Schizosaccharomyces pombe: one gene and its partner. Changing the gene in region 1 together with any one later gene gives a genetic interaction. Each region holds a gene or a part of one and is shown in the gene's direction. Other genes may lie near its edges. The genes, in order: mam2 and map3.

The links.
Region 2: of mam2 (region 1) and map3, changing one suppresses a phenotype caused by changing the other (phenotypic suppression), as found in Schizosaccharomyces pombe (one study listed by BioGRID).

Annotation. Positions count from the first base shown.
Region 1 is NC_003424.3:4,775,391-4,790,212, forward strand, and holds mam2 (pheromone p-factor receptor Mam2), read left to right. Parts: upstream 1-5,297; coding exon 5,298-6,344; 3' UTR 6,345-6,532; downstream 6,533-14,822. Other genes in the region: sst6 (ESCRT I complex subunit Vps23), read left to right, coding at 448-504, 544-1,950; protein mug162, read right to left, coding at 2,049-2,108, 2,147-2,566, 2,619-2,757, 2,864-3,039; SPOM_SPAC11H11.03C (uncharacterized protein), read right to left, coding at 3,791-4,094, 4,133-4,277, 4,633-4,795, 4,851-4,859; protein Fta6, read right to left, coding at 6,657-6,805, 6,853-6,883; ARP2/3 actin-organizing complex actin-related protein subunit Arp2, read left to right, coding at 7,665-7,712, 7,763-8,887; Golgi 4,6-pyruvylated galactose (PvGal) residue biosynthesis protein Pvg5, read right to left, coding at 9,772-10,890; SPOM_SPAC22F8.03C (uncharacterized protein), read right to left, coding at 13,104-13,505; phosphoenolpyruvate transmembrane transporter Pet1, read left to right, coding at 14,399-14,822. UniProt on the Schizosaccharomyces pombe protein: Receptor for the peptide pheromone P-factor, a mating factor of S.pombe. Pheromone signaling is essential for initiation of meiosis in S.pombe; P-factor signaling alone may be sufficient.
Region 2 is NC_003424.3:2,826,958-2,836,563, reverse strand, and holds map3 (pheromone M-factor receptor Map3), read left to right. Parts: upstream 1-1,575; coding exon 1,576-2,673; coding exon of another isoform or gene 2,674-2,968; 3' UTR 2,969-3,034; coding exon of another isoform or gene 3,035-3,138; 3' UTR 3,139-3,333; downstream 3,334-9,606. Other genes in the region: his6 (1-(5-phosphoribosyl)-5-[(5-phosphoribosylamino)methylideneamino] imidazole-4-carboxamide isomerase), read right to left, coding at 2,590-2,968, 3,035-3,138, 3,395-3,465, 3,528-3,768; rRNA processing protein Faf1, read left to right, coding at 3,975-4,754; spd2 (ribonucleotide reductase (RNR) inhibitor family), read right to left, coding at 5,355-5,572, 5,758-5,765, 5,965-6,047; palmitoyltransferase complex subunit Erf4, read left to right, coding at 7,380-7,898; rit1 (initiator methionine tRNA 2'-O-ribosyl phosphate transferase), read left to right, coding at 7,877-7,935, 8,215-9,517.

The DNA of each region.
Region 1 (14,822 bases):
AAAATATTGAATAAGAAATCTGAGCGTATTGGTACTTTGTGAATTTTTCATAACTGCTCCTATCAGTCTATAAATTCATATCCTAATATTATATACTATCAGATCGTCAATTTCAGAAATTGAGTATGTAGCACTTAAAATAAACTTGGCGTTAATGTTAATATGGCATCAATTGAAAATAATCTTGAGTATCGTTACCTGTTTTATCGCTTGATATAACGATATATTGTAATATTATACAGTTTATTTAAAAAAGAGATGCAGCATTGACGTTATTTATTACAACGATAAAATGCGTAAAGAAAACGACCATCTGTTCAAAATCAATTTCACAAGTGGTGCTTGCAATTAATAGGTTTTCGAAAACCAGCTAACTTTATTTGATTTCTTTAAATCCTATAAGATTTAATCACGTGCTTGCATAAGTGCGCCTCGTTTCTTTTTACCATGTCAGATCATGCAATCAATGAACACCCTTCACGAATTTTGAATACAATTGAAAAGGTACCGCTTGTTTTTTTACCAATTTAACCTGAAAAATAGATTAGATTTTGGAAGAATGGACTTGCTGAAGAACTAGAATTATTGTTTAGAAAACAATGTGAAGACACGTTTACACTTCAAGCAATTAATATTGAAGTAGATACGCAAGACGAAAACAAAATAGAAGAGGTCCGCATTTATTTGAGTACTCCAGCATTTGACAAAACAATTTTAACCTCGGCTTGTATAACGGTTCGCTCTTATTATCCATCACAGCCGCCAATAGTACAATTATTGGATGAAAAAGGAGGAAAGCATAAGTACACAAGTCTTCTACTACAACTTTGGAAAAATGAACGGTCTGTTTTTAATATCTATCGTTTAGTTCAAGCTCTAATAAAGCAAGACTTTGAAAGAGAACATACTTCTCCTCCTGAACTGCCGACAAAACTCGTTAATACTATTGAAAAGCTCAAAGTGAAAGAAGAAAATGAAGCTCCTCCTGTTATCCCTGCTAAACCATTCTCATCTTCCTCTGAACAACATTTCCGAAAGGTGCCTGCGTTACCTTCCAAACTACCGCCTAAGCCTTTAAAAATTACCGCTAATAGTTCCTTAGGACAAGAAACAAATTCCAATTCTTCCTCTTTTCAAAGTACGCTTTTTTCTCTGAATACAGCACCTTTTTCAGCTACATCACAACAGCTTGTTCACGATTCTGTTTCATTGAGGCGACCAAGTTCTAACATTCCTGCCCAAAAACCTATTCCACCAAAACCTGAACAAAATGAGATAATAATTACCAAAGACACGCCTTCACTTAAAGACAAATATTCAAAGCCTGCTCTGTTACCGCAAAAACCCAAAGTTTCTAAAGGTCAGATCGTTCAACAAGTTTCAGTGTTCTCGACAGGAAAAAAAATTGAGTCCCAAAGTTTGCTCAACCTTATAGATACAGATATTGAAACCCCTTTAAAAGGTTCGTCTGAGCTACTGTATTCAGAAGACTTTAAGCCCAATGTTGACCCTGTGAAAATTCAGCAAATTCTACATAAACAGAACAAAATTATTGAAGAAAAATGGATTTCACAAATACGAATATCTAAAAACTTAGAGGTTAAGCAAAGGCTTTTGGATCAAGAAAGACACGCTTTAGAAACACTTGCTAAAAATATTGAAAACAATAGATTCATCTTAGGAAAAAGAAGGAGAAAAGCCAGAGAAGCCCTACAGAAGTTGGACAATTTAAAAGACTTATCTGTTCAAGAACTATTTATAATACCCTCCGAACGAGAACTAAAATATTATGAACTTAAACGTAAGGACGAAAAACTGGATGAAGGAATTCGAGCCCTGAATCAGGCCTTGCATCATGAATCAATCATGCCCGCATCTTGGTTAAAGGGAATAAAGCTGTTAGCTAGACAACAATTTTTAATACGGGACGAAATGCTTCAATACTCTTAAGATTATAGTGATGTGAATTTCAGTGTCGACATTTTTAGGAATATATGGACAAGATAAATATTATTCTTTTATTTATTTTTTTGTAAAAAATATCTCCATTACCAGTAATTTCGATAATCATCGTCCTCATAACTTAGGTTTTTAAAATTTTTCTTTTCCTAGAAAGGTTAGATTGGATAACATAATTTTTGCTTACAATTGCATAAATCCATATACTAGGGAAAATAATTAAACAGGAAGTTAATAAATTGAAGTAAGAAATAAGTGGTTTTGCTGTAATTAATGAACCCGTATTTAAAAGAAGTACGGATAATCCTGCAAGAAATCCTAGTACAAAATCCTTGGAGTCAATCAACTTAATCCAAATATACAAATTAATAACCCATAATGCAAATAAATGATAGGACAAATGTACTCTGCCAAGTAAAGGAAGCATGTATTCAGAAAACTTAAGAAACAGCAGAACATTAAGTATGAAGTGCAGTTTGATAGGAATTTCAATTATGCTGATTATTGTCCAATTTTTATTTTTTAAAGATAGAGATTTAATTGACCTTATATTAAAATAGCAAGCAGCGGAAAAGCTTATGAAAGCGAGTTCCATGCAACCAACTCTCTACAATCATTAATTAAGAATTCTCCAGAAAATTTAATAAATAAATACATACATCAAAAGAATACCCAAAAAATTCCATCATCAAGCCATAAAACATAAGGCTGGAAACTTGGAACACAGAATTTTGAACGGCAGAGTATTCGTTTGCCGAACCCGCTGTAAATATGCAATCTGCACAAAGAACTGTTCCCCTGATTGAAATAGTTAGAACTTCTTCATGTTAAGATTCTCATGAATCTCAATTAGTTAAAAAATACGCCGGAAGAAAGAAATTCCTTCCGACATAAAATAAGATACCTAATGTATATCCATAGAGATGGAGAAAATGACCATAAGCTAGGATTTACTAATTGTAAAGTTTTTAAGTTCCAAGTTCCTATGTAGCCTAACAATATAATAAGAATATCGAAGAAAATGACAATACGCAAATTATTCAAAGCTGTGAGTCTTTGTTTATAGACTTCATCATCCATGATTGCGGAAGCAATTTAAATATTGTCAAATTAAAATATATTCATTCGACAATTATTTTCAGCAAATAAGCTTGAAAATTGTAGCTGTATTTAATATATGTCAAGGCAAGGCAATTTTGTGGTAAATAATTCGAGCAAAGAATTGCGAGCTTACGTACAGTAGAGGTACTGACTATTTACGATTAGTACTACCCTCTCTATCAGCTTAAAGAATAATAAAAAAAAATATATATATATATAATTCAGTTGAATGTACTAGTCATTGTTTACGAAATTTTATCGAACCTAAATTTATTATTATTATTATGTGTAAACAATTTTCAAATTTATGTAACCGTTTAATGAAATTGATATAATCAGTTGTTAAAATTAATGAACAACAATAAACAAAATTTAAATAAATTAAATTATACAAAACTTTTAGTAGGCAATATAATGCTAGATTTATTATCTTTAAAATAATAATAAAAATGAATTTTTTACAAAAAGCAGAGAAAACCTATTAAAAAAATATTCCTATAAAATAATCTATTAAAAAAAGTTTCAATATTTATTTGAAATAAAAAAAAAATCCTAAGGTTGCAACAAGCAAAAAAATCTAGAGCCTAAATTACCCAATAAATACAATAATGACCGAATCGAAATAAAAGATTAATACACAGACACCTGGCTAATAATTTCACCGCCTAAAATTTTGTTGACCCAATTTGGTATCCATGGTCGCCTGTGTTAACAAGCAAAAAACAAACTGTTACATGATGGCACAACATGTTTTTAGACGAGGAAAACAATTCGTAGCAATTTCTTCAACAATTTTTTCAGGCTCAACTTGATCAGTCAAAGTTGAATGTTGAGGACGAGAATATGCTTCTTGAGGTTCTTGAATGCAATTGAAATTTGGTTGAATAGGTGAAGTCGCAGATGGTAAATAAACATAAATGCGGCCTTCATTTACTTCACTGTTGTATTTTATAGATTGCTGCTCAAGCATTCGCACAATTGCAGGTCGTAGTTTTTCCACATGATTAGCACTGTGATTACCGCGCCCAACTATACTAAAAAAGAGTTAATTTTAATTAAGCGTAAAACATACATATGTAAATGATTGTCACCACGTCGGATGCAATTCTCAATTCGCTGTTGTACTGCTTGTACAGCTTCATCGATGTACAGACCATGTAAATCAATTTCATCGGGATTGCATTGAGAGTTTTTATATAAATAAATGGCTGAAGCCGCTATCAATAATTAGCACAGTCATAAAACACTTCTATTTTGTTTTCTCGAAGCCAATATGGGTTTGAAGAAACCCAGTGTTTTAAGTTCTATAAAGAAGCCAACCCATTTTTCTCTTAAATCACATGGCTTTATTCAGCTGTTTCAGAGCTCTTCACTTTGTACAAAGAATAGTTCATTGTCATAACTACTATTGTTTGGCGTATTGTCTGACCGATAACTACCGGAATTAGATACCAAACAAAAAGAGTGGAAAAGAAAGAAAGAAAAATCTCATGATGGGTTTGTTTTTCTATTATTGAAAGTTTATAGGGTTTGAACTAACAATCACAGCTTTTAATGAGAATTTGAGATTACCTTGTCGATTATAATTTTCCATACGCTCTCCACATAACTTTCCTTCTTGGCTTAGTTCATGCGCTTTAGCCTTGTTTCCTGCTGAATAGGCATGCTGAGCTTCTTGAAATAAATACCCTCGTTTTTCAGCCTCTTTTGACGCCAACGCTCTAAACTTTTCATACTTCAATAAAGTTAGTTACACCTAATTTCTCCTTATCTCTTTGATTAATAATTACCTCCTCCATTTCTATTGTTTCAGGTGTGGTACTAGACAATGAAGTTAACAATAGGAAATCTGAACAATGGAGTACCACAAAAAATGTTATATAATTCAGCTAGATCTCTGACAAAGATGAAAAATAATTTTTAAGAACTGTCTAAACAATAGTAAATCCTTTTGTTTTTTGTTTCGAATCTGTTTAAACTACAATTTTGCAATTGTTCGAACAGCATTCCATTGGTGTGTTTTGAGTCCATATATTTGGAAATTTGCTGTATATCTTCAAGCGAAAATTTAACTTTTGAGACATAGAAGTGTTTTCTGGAAATTCTAAACAAAGAGGAATTATTGGCATAACAGTTCATTGGGAAACTGAGTCATCAAGTGCTTTACAAATCACATTTTTAAACTTCTTAAACTAAAAAAATCTCGGGTTTATATTGTTCTTGCTCCCTCTGACATTATGAGACAACCATGGTGGAAAGACTTTACTATTCCCGATGCATCCGCAATTATTCACCAAAATATTACCATTGTCTCTATTGTAGGAGAGATTGAAGTGCCAGTTTCAACAATTGATGCATATGAAAGAGATAGACTTTTAACTGGAATGACTTTGTCTGCCCAACTTGCTTTAGGAGTCCTTACCATTTTGATGGTTTGTCTATTGTCATCATCCGAAAAACGAAAACACCCAGTTTTTGTTTTTAATTCGGCAAGTATTGTTGCAATGTGTCTTCGGGCCATTTTGAATATAGTGACCATATGCAGCAATAGCTACAGTATCCTGGTTAATTACGGGTTTATCTTAAACATGGTTCATATGTATGTCCATGTGTTTAATATTTTAATTTTGTTGCTTGCACCGGTCATCATTTTTACTGCTGAGATGAGCATGATGATTCAAGTTCGTATAATTTGTGCACATGATAGAAAGACACAAAGGATAATGACTGTTATTAGTGCCTGCTTAACTGTTTTGGTTCTCGCATTTTGGATTACTAACATGTGTCAACAGATTCAGTATCTGTTATGGTTAACTCCACTTAGCAGCAAGACCATTGTTGGATACTCTTGGCCCTACTTTATTGCTAAAATACTTTTTGCTTTTAGCATTATTTTTCACAGTGGTGTTTTTTCATACAAACTCTTTCGTGCCATATTAATACGGAAAAAAATTGGGCAATTTCCATTTGGTCCGATGCAGTGTATTTTAGTTATTAGCTGCCAATGTCTTATTGTTCCAGCTACCTTTACTATAATAGATAGTTTTATCCATACGTATGATGGCTTTAGCTCTATGACTCAATGTCTGCTAATCATTTCTCTTCCTCTTTCGAGTTTATGGGCGTCTAGTACAGCTCTGAAATTGCAAAGCATGAAAACTTCATCTGCGCAAGGAGAAACCACCGAGGTTTCGATTAGAGTTGATAGAACGTTTGATATCAAACATACTCCCAGTGACGATTATTCGATTTCTGATGAATCTGAAACTAAAAAGTGGACGTAACTTACGCCTGAATGTATCTTTTTTGATAATTCCTAATACTGGCTCAATAACAGTCCCAAATAACATAGACGGTTTTTTTACGATAGGCTTGTAATCATAATTTGCTCAGAGGGAAGTTTTCTAATGGTTTTTTTTTTTTCGCTTCATGAACAATTGTTTACTATAAACATCAATGAAATTATATGATTATAATAACTTATTATCATGAAAACTTCAAGTCGTACTTCACAAACACTTATTAAAACAATAGTGAATGAACTGCCTTCGTAATCTATAATGAACTATAATGTTTTGAGTCTCCAAGTGCTTACCTTACGAACTTTTTTTTTTATTTAAAGCTTCTTGTACCGTAGAAGCCATATCATTCATCGAAGAAGCTAATTCCTTTCTAAGCATCGTTTGCTTTTGTACTTTGGCCGATTGCATTAGCAGTTCTTCCAGACGTGATTTAAACGTTTCCACTATATACACGTAAGTATTGAGCTATTAAATAAAAATTATAACCAACCTGCTGACAATAAAATGTATTTATCCTCCATTTATTTTTATCAAATATTGTATCGAAATGTTTTAGCTGCGAAACGTTACACTCCTTAATTTAGTAATAGCAATATAATAAGGATCTTTAAACCGATATGTGTTATTCTCAAATTGCATTGCTCCACTTATTTCAGTAAACAGATGACAAATATTCAATAATGGTATATGTCGATAATTATAATTCTTTTGTTTAAGTCTTGTATTCAATTTAATGCACACATCTAGTTACTAGAGAAATAAATTCTTTATTAAATCGGTTCCGCGATTCTTCATTTTTGCACAGCGCTCCTAGTCATACCAATCTCATAATAAACGATCGAAGTGTTACCTGCACATTAAACAAACAAATAGAGTCCGTGTTTTTCTTTTAAATAATAGTAATACTATGTGAAACGAAGAATCTTTTAACTAATAAGCGATAATATACATTACTGCCGAACAATTATAAATGCACAGTTATGGCTTTGAGTATAAGGGGTAACGATACTAATGCTAAGTACAATAGAAGATAAGATCATTAACCGTAAAAACCTTTGAGCTATTCTTTTTGCAGCCAATTGTTAAATTAATTTAGATACTTCATTTCTGTTTTATAATTCTCAAGATTACTGCACTTCGCTTTCCTACGATATTACATATTTACGATATATCACCGAATGCTCTGCTACAGTTGCAGTGCTGCTGTGTCATACGGTATATGGCAGATAGTTACCGCCGGTACATTACATAGGGGTGGACTTAAGAACTAACCTTTCACCAACTACACGAGACGTTTATAAAATGGAGTCTGCTCCCATTGTTCTAGATAATGGAACTGGTTTTGTGAAGGTAATCAGTTTAATTAAATCTTTGTTTACACTGTGACTAACGTTAGCAAGGTCGGATATGCTAAAGACAATTTTCCGCGCTTTCAATTCCCATCCATCGTAGGAAGGCCCATTTTACGTGCTGAAGAGAAAACAGGAAATGTTCAAATTAAAGATGTTATGGTCGGTGATGAAGCTGAGGCGGTGAGATCTTTACTTCAAGTAAAATATCCCATGGAAAATGGCATTATCCGTGATTTTGAAGAGATGAATCAACTTTGGGATTACACTTTCTTTGAAAAACTAAAAATTGATCCGAGGGGTAGGAAAATTTTGTTGACCGAGCCCCCTATGAATCCTGTTGCTAACCGCGAAAAAATGTGTGAGACAATGTTTGAACGGTATGGTTTTGGTGGTGTTTATGTCGCCATTCAGGCCGTTCTCTCTTTATACGCACAGGGATTAAGCAGTGGTGTAGTTGTTGATTCTGGTGACGGTGTAACCCATATTGTGCCTGTCTATGAAAGTGTTGTTTTAAATCATTTAGTTGGTCGCCTTGACGTTGCCGGTAGGGATGCTACCCGCTATTTGATTAGCTTACTTCTTCGTAAGGGTTATGCTTTCAATCGTACAGCAGACTTTGAAACTGTTCGCGAGATGAAAGAAAAACTTTGTTACGTTAGTTATGATTTGGAATTGGACCATAAGCTTAGCGAAGAAACTACCGTTTTAATGCGTAATTACACCCTTCCTGATGGAAGAGTTATTAAAGTTGGTTCTGAGCGTTATGAATGTCCAGAATGTCTATTTCAACCTCATCTGGTTGGTAGTGAACAACCAGGTTTGAGTGAATTTATTTTTGACACTATCCAAGCAGCTGATGTGGACATTCGCAAGTATTTGTATCGCGCCATTGTTCTCTCAGGTGGTAGCAGTATGTATGCCGGTCTTCCTTCACGTCTTGAAAAGGAAATAAAACAGTTATGGTTTGAGCGTGTTCTTCATGGAGATCCCGCACGTTTGCCTAACTTTAAGGTTAAGATTGAAGACGCTCCTCGTCGCCGTCATGCCGTGTTTATCGGCGGCGCCGTATTGGCAGATATCATGGCTCAAAACGATCACATGTGGGTGTCCAAGGCAGAATGGGAGGAGTATGGAGTACGTGCACTAGACAAATTGGGTCCTAGAACTACTTAGAGTATATTTATGTTTAATGTTCTGTTTCTTTCTTTTTATGTGCTAGTAAATTGAGTTATACGAAGTTTGATTCATAAATTTCAAACTTTGCTAAATGATTACGTTTTCTGTTTAATCCGACCATCGTTAAAAGACGGTACGATTCCTTCTTTTATTTGCCTTTTTGATTCCTTTTTCTTTTGATGGGCTATTTACTTATGCTTGATGTTTATACAACCTTTTTGTAACCAACGATCTTATTTACTCAATATGCACTAGTACACTTCAATAGCAACAGACTTAATGACTAGACTCCCGTGACGTATATATTTGGTTTCGCCCATTTAGGGCGTTTTCTTATTAGGTCCTAGTTTTAACAAAAATAGCTTGACATTCTGAGCTTCTAGTTTTCTGAAGATTGACATCCACGGAAAACATGAGTAACATTTAAAAGCAGGAATTTCTATTATTGTAAATAAATAAATTACCGACCTAATTTTTTTGTTAAATTGTATATATAAACCATTAATAATGTGTCCAAGACAGCCTAGAAAAATTAATGCTCTTAATTAAGCACGACAGCATAAGAGGAGTAGAAATTGCCGCACAAATCGACTGAAATTTCTCATAACGGTGTAAGAGGAATTCATTAGGAAACAAAACGACGGAACATTGAAACAACCTTAAATAAATAAGAACAAATATAAAAGTGTAGTTTACGAAGACAAAATGCCTCGTGAAACCGACAGATGAAAAACAACGTGAAACCGAAAATATGTGAATAAAAAATGAACAACATAGAACAACAGTAATGAAAATGAAAATATAAAAACAAAGAACAAAAGCAAAGAATAAAAAAGGAGAAACGACTGGAGTAAATAAGAGAAGAATCCAGAAGAAGTAATTTAAAGTTGCTTCCATTGTTCAATTATTCGAAGAGCTGTTTGAAGTTCCTCAGCTACAGCAACAACATTTTTCCGCTGGAACGCCTGCATCCACTGTCGTTCATAATAAGCATCTTCCACGTCATCGTTTTCGAGTAAATAAACATGCTTCAAGTTAAGATAAACGCCAAGTAAATGTATCTGATAAATATCAGTTACAAAATATGGGTACTTCACAACTTGGGACACCACGTAGTCAAATAAAAGTTTGGCTTGATCGTCGATAGTAGAGGAATCGGGAAAAGATGGAGGCTGCCAAAAGTGCAATGTATATTTAAGTTTATAATTATCATAAAATGAAACAGGCAAATTGTGATCTTTGGATAGAAATATCAGTATATCAGCTGAAGTTTTTTTATGCTGCTTAATATCTGCTAATTCAAATAGCAAAGAAGAAGACGCATCAGGGGCAAAGGCGACAACTGCACCACTTAACTCAAGATATCGTGAATCCGATAATACCCGAGTGGAGACAAGGTACTTATCCGGAATTGGTCGAATCTTTTTGAGTGCAAGTTGACATTCATCGTCGGCATATTCAGCATAATTGATGGGGAAAGAACGAACTTTGAACTTTTTAGCCTCGTCAAAAGGAACAACAGAGTCCATGACATGATTAAACAGATGAAATGTGAACCTTGCAGGAGTGGCAGCATTCAAAACTGCAAAGTACAAAGGATTAAATAAGTCGCTGCCATTATTAAAAGTTGGAAGAGAATCGTGAGCATTATTAGAAAGGGGAAAACATATATCAGAAAGGACATTAATATTACGTTCTTTCAAGTACCAGTTTTGGCCCATTAAAGTAAGAAAATTATCAGAGGCGGCAAAGCATGGGCGGTTGATCAAAACAACATTGCGAATACCTCCTAACTGAGCATCCATGGTGTAATAAAAATTACGTTTTAAAGCTGACAAATGACGATGATAAATAGGATATTCGGTTTTCAGCTTTTTCATAGTAGTGTTCGAATAGAAGATTAAAGGACGAAGTAGAAGAATGAGGCTTCCAAATAAGAATAGTCGAAGACACCATCCGCCGATACCATTACCAGCAAAAATCCGTAATGGAAGGCCCATATCAATTGGATGTGAGCATAAACAGAATAAGAAAAATCAAATATGAATTAAAAGAAAGAAAAGAAGAAAAAACCAAGTATTCTTGAACCGATACTCACTATTCTATTTTAACAAGTGTGATAACAGTTTTGGAACCAGTGTGAAAACTAAATAAAGAGGAAAAAATTTTTTTAAAACCCTTCAATACAAATAATCGACACACAAACGGAAACGAGGATAAGAAAATGAGTCAAAGGGGGAAACCATATAAAAGTGTAAAGATGATACCAATGACTTCTCTGGGCAGGAAGAAGAAGGAACGAATGAAAGTAGCAAATGTCTAACCAAAACAAAAATTAAACGAGAGAAATTAGAAAGTTAGAAGATTTCCTTTTATTTGTATTATGAGCCGTGGGAGTAAAAAAAGCAACGGCAAATGAAGAAAAAAAAAATTAAATTAAGAAGATGATTAACGAAAAAAGACGAATTTTCAGTAGAGAAAATATATAAGAAATACCTTACTTTGTTGAGTTTTAATCGGACTTCGGTCTCACGAAATCACGACAGGCTAGGAAGAAAATTTGAAGAGTGGGGCTCAGAGCATTTATACTTGGAAGATGCGAAATGAGTAGTTAAAAAAAGACTTGACCAAATTTTATAGTTCCCTTGACCGTTAAATCTTTTCCCAATATTCTATACAATATATGGGAGGGTTGATGTACAGAGGATGAGTTTGAATTCACTGGTATGACCAAAGTATGCGGCAATCAAGGACTAAGGCTGGAAAGAGAAGTAACGCACAATCTAACCTTAAAGTAACGAAAAACAAGGATGCAAAGGAGCTTAATGAGTGGTAACGAGACTTTTTCAATCTGATATTTAAAGATTTAGGAAGCAAATGCAAAGAGAAAGAAGAAAGGAGGTGCAGATTAAACAGTGAAAGTGAGAAGGTACGAACAAAAAGAAAAAGAAATTTGAACGCGTGCGTACACAAGAGAAAGAAAGAATGAAGCGAAAAAAATAGAAAGAGAGACACGCAAAGACGGAAAAAGGGAGAGAGAGAAAAATAAAGGACAATCTTGTTTAAACACGAGGACGCGCTTTTTAAACTAATGAATCGACAATAATATAAAAGAAAAAGCTATACGTGAAGAAACTCGCGTTTGTTCTTTAAAAATAGCGCAACCAACAGCGAAAATGAAAAGTTAGCTGAACAGTAGATTTGACAAGCAGAGGGAAAGAAGAAAAGAAATAGAGTAAAAGGAAAGTTACGGATGCCTGCTGAAACGCGGATTATATGCTATGTGCCGGTTTGAAATAAGAAGCAAATCCTCTTCGTTCAAATGTTTTCATCTTTGGTTTCCCATGACTAAATCATTGTTTAAAGTTTATGATAATGTATGATTGGTTGTTCCGTAGTTATGAGTCAAGCAAACTTCGTACGATAACGTTTTCGTCAATACTACTCAAGCAACATGTTAGCTAGGGGTAATTTGGCCAGTATTTACCGAAACGCTGATTAGTAAATGTTCAAAACGAACACCGTCCGTATTTGCAGAATGGAATATGGCTTGGAGTGACCCCCATTCAGTACTGCTGGGGTATCTCCAAAAGGAATCAAGTCGTAAGTCACTTCCCCCACGTAGGCCTGCTGGGGTTTTCAAAAAGAAAATCAAGTCTTAGTCTAGGAAACGTGCTCTCAAGACGAAGATTGACAAAAAAGCCCTATGTGGGGGATGGGATTTACACAAGTAAGGCATTCGAAATTTCGGAGTCGTAGCAACTGCAGGGCTGCCTCCAGTCGCTCTGTTAATTAGGGAGGTACGATGGAGGGGATTTAAAACAAGAGCTATAAGGAGACGGGAAAAAGAAAGGAAGGTCACGTGGAAGGGTAAAATTGAATGTTTCGTATAAAAATGAAATGGCATAGGTTAAAAAAAAATAAAAAAATAAAAAATACTCGCTGTTAAAGATAAGTCAAGCTAACTCATGAGATGCTGAGAAGGTAGTTAAAACGTCTAGTTTATTGCTTTCTTGTCCGGTTTCACACACCTCCTACATTTGCTTTGTTTGTTAGTGTATTTTTTGCGATGTTGTTTCCTTACAGGCGTAATCTGATTGTTTATCCCTGATAAATACGGGATTGAACGTTGTGACCCCTCTAACTTTGAATTAGCCCCACATTTTTCAAATAGACCAATGCATGAATGCTCTCGATCGATAGATCAGCTATCTCAATTGATCCGCTTGACGCAATTAAGCGCAGTATCATGATCTGACCGCGCCATGTTACCTATAACCGTCATAGTTGCTATTCGGAAGTGAAAGCAAGCTGCTTGCATGAAAACGTGCATTTTGTTGGCCTTTTTCGTGGCCATTGGTTTCAAGCACAAAACAGCAAAGCGTACACTACGACCAGGAGCAGCTTGAAAATAAGCTTCATCTGATAGAACAAAGTTCCAAGTGTAGGAAGCATAGAGTAAACAATAGTAGCTAGCAGAAAGAGGGGAATAAAGAAAAAGAAGGGGACCATCTTTGTAGAAGCATAGAATGCACAATAAACTACTGAAAGAGAAAGAAGTGTTTAGAAGATTCTTTCCATAAGGGACAAAGGTTGGGATTAACACTGTAGACATAAATAAAATCAATTTAAATAAAAATAAACTACAGATGGAGAAAAAGATGCATTCATGTCTTGTACAGCATGAGAAAGCCAAATGTGAAAAGTAACTAACAACCAAATTTGTAGTTGTATAAACAAAATATATTTCCAAGCGCCCGGTAAATTAATTTATGAAATTCTTAAATTATTCTTCCTAATTATTTTTCGTTCCTTCATATTTCACTTACTTTTTTTTTGTTCTTTTCTTTTTTTTATTATTTGGTCACTTTATTGTGCCTACCTCTTTGCTTTCTTCCTTTCCACCAGCACCCTTTTCGCTTTTCTCTCCCCTTCCTCTGGCTCATCGACATTCAATATTACTACTTCTCTCCCTTCTAACAAACAAGACTCAACCCCCTCTTATCAAGGCGTATGTGCTTTTCTTGAAGCTGTCACCTCAAGGCCGTCTCGTCTAATTCCCTTATAAAAAATACCTTCAATTTTGTGACTTGCATCCTCCTTATAAGCAGCTTCGCGTTCTCGTGTAAAAACGCCTCCCAAGTGCTTCCTAGGCTTACATTTTTCCTACCACATCGTATTCTTAATACTGTGCAGTTGGAAGCAAACGTGTAACTTATTACTGTGTTGGTGAAATTCGTTTGCGTCTTCTGTCTTTTGTTATTTGTTCGTTAATATCTCCCCTTTGTATTGTATCGGTACTAACGTGAATCACGTTGGAAAAGTGGTGCAAAAGGTCGTTCATTTTTTTAAGCCGCCGCTCCTCATTGCATACTTGTCATCTAGCCGACTCTTCTGGGCAGAGTAGAAGTATCTTTTTGTTTGGTTGTTTATGAAATTTTATTGTTTTAATTCTTCTTCACGCCTCTAATACTTTCTTCAATAAAAAAGCATAACGATTTAACTAAAATGAGTTCCAAGCTAACCGTCAATGCGCATTACTCTCCTTTAAAGGATGAAGATCCTTTAGACCACATTGATAGCCAAACGGCGTTGGACTCTATGGAAACCGACTCCACTGGCAAATCTTCCTTGTATTTTTCCAAGTCGGATGATCCCTTGTCGAAAGATATTGAGGATGGTATATCAACCAGGAAGTTGGAGGAGATGAGTGTTCTCGAGGCCAATGCAAAAGAGCCCGACTCGGAAAATGCTCCTGTTTCACGACTGACCATATTTTTTGCGGTTTCCTCCCAAATCGTTTTCGCTATCCTAGTTACCATTCTCAACAAGCAAGCTCTCAATATCATCAACGCACCACTTCTGATGTTGTCGTTTCAAATGGCATTCACATCTCTCATGGTAAAGATGTATTGGCGATTCTCCTCCGTTC
Region 2 (9,606 bases), 1.9 Mb from region 1:
TATTGTGATATACGAAACATCAGCATCAGGTTATAGCCGTGCAACATTTTCTGATAAATGATGAGGAAAACAGATGCTATTGTCTTGCTCATGTTGGTTCTCTGGGTTGAGATAATGAACATATTGGTATATAAAACTTGCACACGGATCAACGAGAATTGCTTACTTTTATTGCTCTTACATTTTATTGCTTTTATTTTATATAACATTGATTGCTCTCTTCTTTTCTTGTACTAAAAGAAATACAAACATACAAATATGGCTTACATGTTTTACTTCGCAGAATTATAATTAATTAAATACCCAAGTTATTCGTTAGCATGGTTGAGTATATTGTTTAATAATAGCGCTATTTAAGTCGTAACTTTATAGGATAAGTATTACCAGTACTAATACGTGTAAGAAGTTACCTAGTGCTATTGTTAACAAAATATAAGCTCGTTAATGTGAGTAACTTGTTTTATTTTCTACTTGAAATTTTTAACAAACAAACCAGTTAAAAAAAATTGATCTGGATCAATACTCCAGCTATTTGGAAAGAATTGACTTACGCGTAAATGTGTACGCGTTAATGTTTACTGATTTCGTTTTCGGGTTTAGAGAAGTAAAGGATGGAATTAGATTACAGGAAAGAGTATTTTTATAAATTATATATAAAGGAAGATATGACTAACGGCTAGTGTACCAATTCCATAATATACCGAGTGCAATTCAAACCAAACTCTCGTATATAGGCTGCGATTTATAAAGTAAAACTTCAGCGCATCAGCACAATTGTTCACGAGTACAAAATCTAAAAAGAAATTTTCTTTGCAATGCGCTCATCAATTAATATAAACGACCGCGATATATGAAGTCAAACAGTCGTTAAACACCAAAATTTCTTTACGTATTTACTTCGCAGATTACCCATCAAAAAGATATTCTATGGATTTATTAAAGATAAAGAATTCGCTTTTGATGCCTCAAATTGGAATACTATGCTTTAGATAATCAAATGGGCTGAACTCTTTGACCGACCGAAAATGGATCTCTATGCTGAGGCTTCTCACGGTAGGTATATAAAGAGCCTACTGCCCTTCTTCAATATGCCAAATAAATACAAACAAGGTTCTATACTCAACAGTAATTTTTCTTACTCATTTAATTACGAACCGTGCTCTGTTTTCGCAAGTTGTTTTCAAGTTTTCAAGCTTCGCGCGGGATATCTGGCGAGCGATCAAAGGTGTTTCCAATAGCTTTAACCTTTTCGTTTCCTGTCCTGTATTTTTAAATAATACATTTTCCGTGTCTATTACTTTTATTTTGGAACAATATTGAAGTTCAAATTGTACACGACTTTGGCAATCTTAGGAAAATCTTGGCATATACAATTCCAATTTTTGCTCTATCCAAATATCAAGACTACCATCATCACTGAATTTATACTCTTTTGTTTGCGCATCGTCTTTCGGCTTTCTTTTTCACCTTCTTTAATATTTTGAAATTCTATATAGGTCTTTGTGTACCATTTAATTTTTGTATCTTACTTTCTTTTATATCATATTTATTAGTTACTTATACGTTGAGTTTACCATGTTGCCTATTGGGATTTTCTATCAATTTTATGCTTACTTTGCCCTTGTTTTGTCTATCCCCATCTTATACATGCAGTTGCGTGCGAGAAACATTCCCTGCCTTTTGCTTTTATTTTGGTTAACCCTAACAACTCTCATCTACGTTGTCGAGTCTGCTATTTGGAGCAATCCCTACGCAGAAACAATTAGATGGATGGGTTATGGATTGTGTGATATTACATCTAGAATTGTCACATGTTCAAGTATTGGAATTCCTGCATCTGCCTTCACTTTGGTCCTGTATCTTGATACAGTCATTCGCAGAGACCACCCTCTCAAACGATATGAAAATTGGATTTGGCATGTATGCTTATCCATCCTGCTGCCATTGATTATCATGGCAATGATGGTTCCTTTGGAAAGTAACCGTTATGTGGTAATATGCATGAATGGATGCTACAGCTCTTTTTACCAAACGTGGTACACGCTTTTATTTTTTTACATCCCTCCATGCCTGTTGTCTTTTGGTGGCTTGTTCTTCGTTTCCCGAATCGTCGTGCTTTACTGGCGTCGACAAAGAGAACTGCAGCAATTTTTTCAGAGAGATTCTCAACTAACCTCAAAACGATTCTTACGCTTGCTATGTTTGGCAGCTGTATTTTTCCTCGGTTATTTTCCACTAACCATTTTCATGGTCGTAGCTAATGGAAAACTACAGCAGTTTTTACCATTCAACCATGAACTAGTAGAAGCCTGGCATCAGGAATCAATTACCTATTATCCTACAACTAAGGTTGGACTAAACGACTGGGTCCCTCCAACCGTTCTTTACCTCATGTCTTTGTTTTTCAGTACAAGTGGTGGTTGGACAGAAAAGGTTGCATTAATCCTTTGGTCTCTTTTGGTATGGCTTCCTTTTACCAAAAATACCGCGTTGGGTCGTCATGCACAATTCAAATTGGATTGCTGTAAGAGTATCGAATCAACTATGGCAGGAAAGACTTTGGATTCTACTGATTTTAAGGAAAAATGTTTAGTCTTGGAGAGGCAATGGAGTAAATCGTCGATTCCAAGCGACAACTCGAGTGAACTCCAAGACGCCGCCAAATATGTCTAAAGCACTTCCGATCGTTAAATCAACTTTTCCTTTACTCAATTTATCTACCAGATCCAAATCTTCTATACTGCGACCGCCTCCAGCGTAAGTGGTAGGAATTTTGACCCATTCTCCCAATTTAATTACCAAGTCCTCATCTATACCCTTACATAGACCTTCAACGTCTGCAGCGTGAATTAAAAACTCCGAACAATACTGAGACAGTAAATCTAAGTTTTCTTCATTTAGTTCAAAAGCAGTCATTACTTGCCATTTATTGATGGCAGCGAACCACCTATTATCTTTTCGACGACAACTGTAAGTTTTGTTATTAATAATACTCTTGGAAGTTTCCTCCTTTGCTCGCGAATTGGTTTCTTACCTCACATCCACAACCAAGCGGTCTTTTCCAATTTTTGAAGATATAGCCTTCAGTCTATCCAAATCAAACTGGGCATCTGGGAACAGCCAAGAAGTTACTATTACCTAGACAAAGTTAGGAACTTCACACTTTCATTTGATTGTTAATCATTTTACGCATCATTCTTTTTTTGTAACTTTACTAATGCCTTTGGAACACAACTCTTTTTATGAGCATGTATTTTTATGACCAGCTTTAGCTGCAATTTTTTAATCAATATTGCATACTCAGAAATGAATATACAAATAATCACATCCGAGATTGCTTAATGTAAAAGAAGATTAACGTTTAACATAGCATGTAAATTAATTTTAAATTTACCTTTGAGGCACCTTCTTGTAGCCAGTTTTGTGCATTAGAAATATTAATCCCCCCACCAATCTGAAGAGCACCTTCATTTGTAAGTTGTAAAATAATTAAAATTATTTATCCAAAAAAAAAATGCACGACATACCAGGCCATGTGTGCAAAGCCGTTTTAGCTGCTTCTTCGCAGTTCGGCCCAAGCATAATAACATGTGCTCCTTCGAGGTGATTCAATTTGTACAGTTCAGCATAATAACTGCTAGGTTTTAATGATACATAGTTAGTTTTCACGTCTGCGTCATTTCCTAATGTGCCTCCAACAATTTGTTTGACTTGACCTTGATGAATATCGATACATGGTCGAAACAAAGTGTGCTGCGATTTTTCCATATCTTCAAATTTCCCAATAACGTGCAAAACAAAAAAGAGAAGAAATGAAACAATCACAGAATTGCTATGTCTTATATAAAAAAATAGTTGAAGTGAGCAACTTTGAGACGTTACAGCACCAGTGAAGTAAGCTGTCAAATACAAACTCCACCATAAATTTTTATTTCATTCTTCCTATCACCTTCTTTATAATTTTGACAATAAACATGTCAGAGAATGCTTTATTAGCCTTACAGAGGCATTTTGAAGATCAATTTGGACACATCGAAGGATTACAACCTGTTTCAGCAAAGCCTTCTGAAACTGCTTTCAATTCGGATGCTTCAGAAAAAGAACAATCTCCAACTACCAGCAATGAGGAGGAAGACGCTATTTCAGATATGGAGGATAAAGAAGATGTGTCTTTTGGGTCCAAAATTCTACGAGTTTCCCATCAAGAAGTTGAGAAGCCAACTCTGTCAGCGACCGTAGGTCGTGTATCTTTTTTAAAAAAAATGCCCAAGTTAGAAGATGAAGAAGAAATTCTAGCAAAGAAGAGAGAAGAACAAAAATTGCGAAAACGATCTCGTCAAAATGATGATGGTTCAGATGATGATGAAGTCGAGAATCTAAAAAACGATTTAGAACTACAAAAACTTTTACGAGAATCTCATCTTTTACATGAGGCAACCTCAAGGACAGGTCAAGTTCAGTTGGTTGCTGAAGGAAAAATCCGTCACAAAGTCGTTCAGCAGCACATTGCTCAACTGGGCGGTAAGAAGGAAACCGAGAAAATGCCAATGGCTGCTCGTAGAGGAATGAAGAAGAAACAGAAACATATAGAGAAAGTAATTGAGAACGAAGCCCGGGAGAGTGGTACGGTGTTAGCAAAAAAACGAAAAGAAAGAAAACAGTTCAAAAAGGGATTTCGTCCTGTTACTTTCTCAGCGCCAGGTAAGCTCGTGGGCGGTACTTTACTATTGCCAAAAAGCATGATACCTAAATAAAAATTTAAAAAAGAGGAAAATTTGATTTTCGTGACAAAAAAATAATGACTTTTTCTTCTTAACTATTTATACCACCTTTAAAAATACTGAAGCTATGGAAGTTGGATTTTTAGTAACTTTCGACACATTCAAATGGTGTTTTATTTTCCTTTTTTTTACCTGGAACATTTAAGCTGATTATATTTGTGAATGTAAGACGCATACGGACAAGGAATTTTGGTTTTGCATAGAGGGTACTTAGTTTTTAATATTTGAACACATTTAACGTAATTTGAAAATAAAAATGGTACTATTATGAAAATGTTCAAAGGAACAAACTATAGCAGATGAGCGAGCGACGAGAAAAAAGAAACACAAAACAAATAATTTAAAAAGTATAGTTTACTAGTACTGAGTCCGCATATTCATGAGTAAACAATACTACAATAAGCAAGCAAAAACTAGAAAGCAAAGTCGAAGAAATAAATTAAGTAAATCTTTATCTTCAATTCAATTTCATAGTTTTGAGTAATAGTTCATCTCAATAACAAAGATTTATGCTATTGAAAATATACATATTACCCAATAGTATCGAAAGCTTTATCTTGCTCATTTATTCATTTAATGAGACTTGAGAAAATCAGGCTTGGCAAAAGAATCGGCGATTTCTTGAGTGGAGGCGGTATCCCAGAAAATAGAATCAGCAGCCAATTCTTGCTTCAAATCATCGAGACGAAGATTAGGATCATGTTTTTGCTGAGGAAGCTCATTTCTATCAGTTTGATCCTTGTGGTAAGAAGGGAAAAGTTGTTGGTCAAATTTGTAACCAGTTTGAACAGCTGCTAAAGTTAGTAAAAACTGCTTTCATCTAAACAGGAAAAAAGGTAGAAAGGAAGTAGTTTCTATAAAAACAGTTTTCCATTAAAAGTATAAACATGAAGAAAGAGTGCTTTATAGAAATTTTTGATTAAGGTATTAATAAACAAATCCACTCATTTTTTTTTTTTAAATTTGATTCACGTACCTTTGCGACTAAATGATTGTTAGTTATTATACAAAAAGACTAAAAAAGAGTTAAATCATCAAATGCCGTGCTGCAGTACAATTGTATTATAAGTTTTCAAAAAAGTACTTAGACCTTTAAGCCCTGTCTCTTACAAAAAAAGATAGCAGAACAATCAGCATTTTGGATAATTCAACGTTTAAAAGTAAAAAATTGGATTAAACTTACACTCTGGCTCCAACATCAAAAAGAGTAGTTTGAACTAGCTGGGGAAGTTCGTCATGATCGGGAAGCTTGAACGTTTCAGACATCCTGGATAAGTAAAACAATTAAAAAGTATCAAACAGGGGGAAATTGACAAAGTATAGTTAAATATAGGTAAAGACGGAGTGGTGAATCACAAATGCTAGCAATTACCAATCGCAGAGCAATCTTTTAATTTTCAATGATTAGGTGGTAGATGGTAAGTAGTTTGGGGTTGCGATTGTAGATCATACGAATTTTCTGTGACTCGAGACAGGTAACACTTTTTCTATTGTTTACCTATGGAAAAAAAAAACAAAACAGTGTAATGCGATACATATTTCCTTTAAACAGTTATGTTATGGGTATCATGAGAAACTAAATTTTCATCTTCGTAAAGGAGGGTTCTTTTTTAATCGTCTTTCTTGGAATTTCTTCAAATCATGAATTCAACTTGCATAAATGGATAAGAAAAGTTGGTTGTAAGAATCTATAGATATATATTTAGCATGTTTCTTTTATTTAAACGAATATTCCTTTTAGAAGCGAGTAAGCTTCAAGTCGTATAGAACGCAGACGATATTAAGCCTAATAGGATCTTTAACGCTTAACTTAATAGCAAGCACAATGAGTTTTAGATAGCTGAGTACTTTAAAGCAACCTAACTTCCCTTGCAGCTAAAAAAGTTTATTGAACTTGATTTAAGACGCTCTTCTTGGACTGAGCAAGGACTTCAAAAAAGCCCGCATTCGTTGTCAAAGTTTTATCTCATCTAACGACTAAAGTAATATGAGTCAATGCTCATATAATATACAGTCGAATATTTTTTATATTTTATTACATTTATTTTCCCAAGTAGTTTTTCCAGTTCATTCTAAGTAACTTTTATCGTAGATGAAATATATCCTGTAGAGAGCTTTTATCCTCTTCCTGAACGAGCAATACGTTTTATTAATTTTCAATTCCTCAACAACTAAAACCACATCCTTTTATCAATCTTAATTTTCACTATAAATCCGTTCAAATTACCTAGTGACAAACTGTGTGGTTTTTGTTTCAAATCTGAAACTCACTCAATTAATCATAATGATTTTTTAAAATGAGTTATCATTGCCCATTTTACAGCTATTCACTCAATTAATCACTCAATTCTGACATTTAATACGTTTGTTTGTTTAGTTCCGGTTATATGATCAATCGATGAACTCATGAGTGTTTTATAATTTTTTAGTCATTTTTAACGTTGTTTAACTTATAACTTTCCTGTTTATTTATTTTTTTTCTTGTGCTCTACCGAATCCCAGTTTCATTATACATATTCTCTAATCCGTCTTCTAATATTGTACACTTGAACCTAGAGCTAGGGAATCCACCAAGCTTCATTTCAGTAGGTTTTTTCGATGCTTGTTCGCATTGAAAGGGATTATTCGGTTTCAGGAGATAAATATCCTCAATTTCCAACCGATTATCCTGTACCTCTTCGAGCTTATGTGAATCTTGAGGATTGGGATGTATTCATTCACACATTAAACGAGAAACTGAGAGAAGCCTTCTGTCCATGGTCAATTGGAAATCTATTAGATGGAATTCTATCTGTTTTAACGATTTATATCTCGGAGTTCGTATTTGGCAGTATTCATCGTAAAAGAATTGGGGCGATCGATTTGTACATCCTGGACTTTGCAACCCAACATAATTTATACGTTGCCAGCCTTCGCAATATGGGGTTTTTGAGTCTCGTTTTTCATACAAAAGAAACAAATTCGAAAAGTAGTACTCTCCATTCCAATCCGTACTGCCCGGAGCACCATTCTATACGAACACTTCCCTCTGCCGTGACTGCCACCACTTCAAATATCTCAACTTCTAGTTCTCACAGAAGTGATCTGCCAAACGAATGGACGAATTCGACCCTTTAGACGCTGTGCAACAAATTCATGTTCAAGCAAGACACCCGTAAGTCTCAATTTGCTATACAAATAAGCTGGCAGAATCAAAAGACTTAGAAAATGATTGCTACCTTTATAAACGCACAAGCAATTAATGCAAATTGTAAGAAAAAACGATGGATAGCTGCTATTAAATTTTCATGAAAAATTTTTAGCCTAATCGCCATTTGTTGGATTTCGTACTGATATATATTTTTGCTGATTTTTACTTGTTTTTCCTTTTTGCCTTGCTTTTCTTTTATTTGTATGTCATCGAATGGAAAATTTGGCTAACACTAATTTCAAGAAAGAATCGGTTGCTGTCAATTGCACACGATGCCAAGTTTGTCGACTCAGTTATAGCTTCGTACCCCACATTTAAACCTGTTGTAAATGAACGATGCGGTACGTGGTATGTCAACCGACGACATGCTCCGATTTCTGTTTATTTCAAAAGTACTGATGGTCATACCGGGCAATGGTCTTTTAGCTGTCGTCGTCTCAATTTGCATTTGCTAAATGAGATAACCACTTGTGATGGATTGATTATAGTAGATTCTACTCGTCGTGGAAAGAGAATGCCCGATGCTCTATCAAAGACGATTCCGATATGGATTGCTACGCTCAATAAATGTGTTTTCGAACGGCTTCGTCCCCATTCCTTTCCTAATGCTCGTTTGGCCTTTTTACCCCCGTTTTTACCTGATACAGAAAAATCATCTATTTTACAGAGGCTAGATGGATTTGTAGATTCTTTAATGCAGTCCGGCATTGACTTAGATGCGTTGGCGGCTAAGCTAACTAAACCCATTCGTCCTTTATGGGTAACACCTGCTAGTCGTTTAACATCTGCACAATTTGAAGAATATTTTACAGTTGTTCTGGTTACTGCAAGTGCTCAAGTACAGAATGGGTACTCCCGAGAACATGGATTTCTTTACGTTCAAGGAGCAGCAGATGACGAAGAAGAATGGTCGCATGGGCTGACCCCTGAAGTCTTTTGGCAAAATACTGAATCTATCCTCACATGCCCAGAGGAGCAATTGGAGCAAAAAATTAGCCTCCTACTATCTTCAACTAGAAACTCACCTACCATGTCAAATTCTTCGTTAACCCATCTTTTACCAACTCCTATATTTGTTGGGGATGTTACGGGATTTTATCCCCCTCCAGAAAATACATCTTACTTTGTTTTGAATTTGTCGAATACCACCCTGAATGTGAAGAATGAACTTTGTTTTCCAATACCGTCAGGAAAAAAAGGTGCTCCGGTGTTTCGCAAGCATTTCCCTTCAATATTGCAAGAATTAAATTCACTTGATCCTCCATTTTATGAGAGAGATGCTATATTTATTGTCGATGAAGGAAATGCTAAAGAAGCCGCCTCTTGTCTTGCATTGATGATTCTTTGTTTATACTACGACCTCCATATGCATTTACTTGCCCATCCTATATCTCTATCTGCATCTCAGTCTCACCTTACCAAGCAAACGGTTCGCCAATTTCTGGTAAAAATTACAGAACTACACTCCAAAACAAATCCCTCACGAGCATTCCTTCTTGCCGTCAATTCCCTTTTACTTAGTGCCAATACTATTGCTACTTCTTAGTAGTGGCACTTGGAATGGCAAAAATGTTTACGGTAAATAAAATAACGTAACATGAATCGTTTCCTTAAACGAATCCCAATGTCAACATT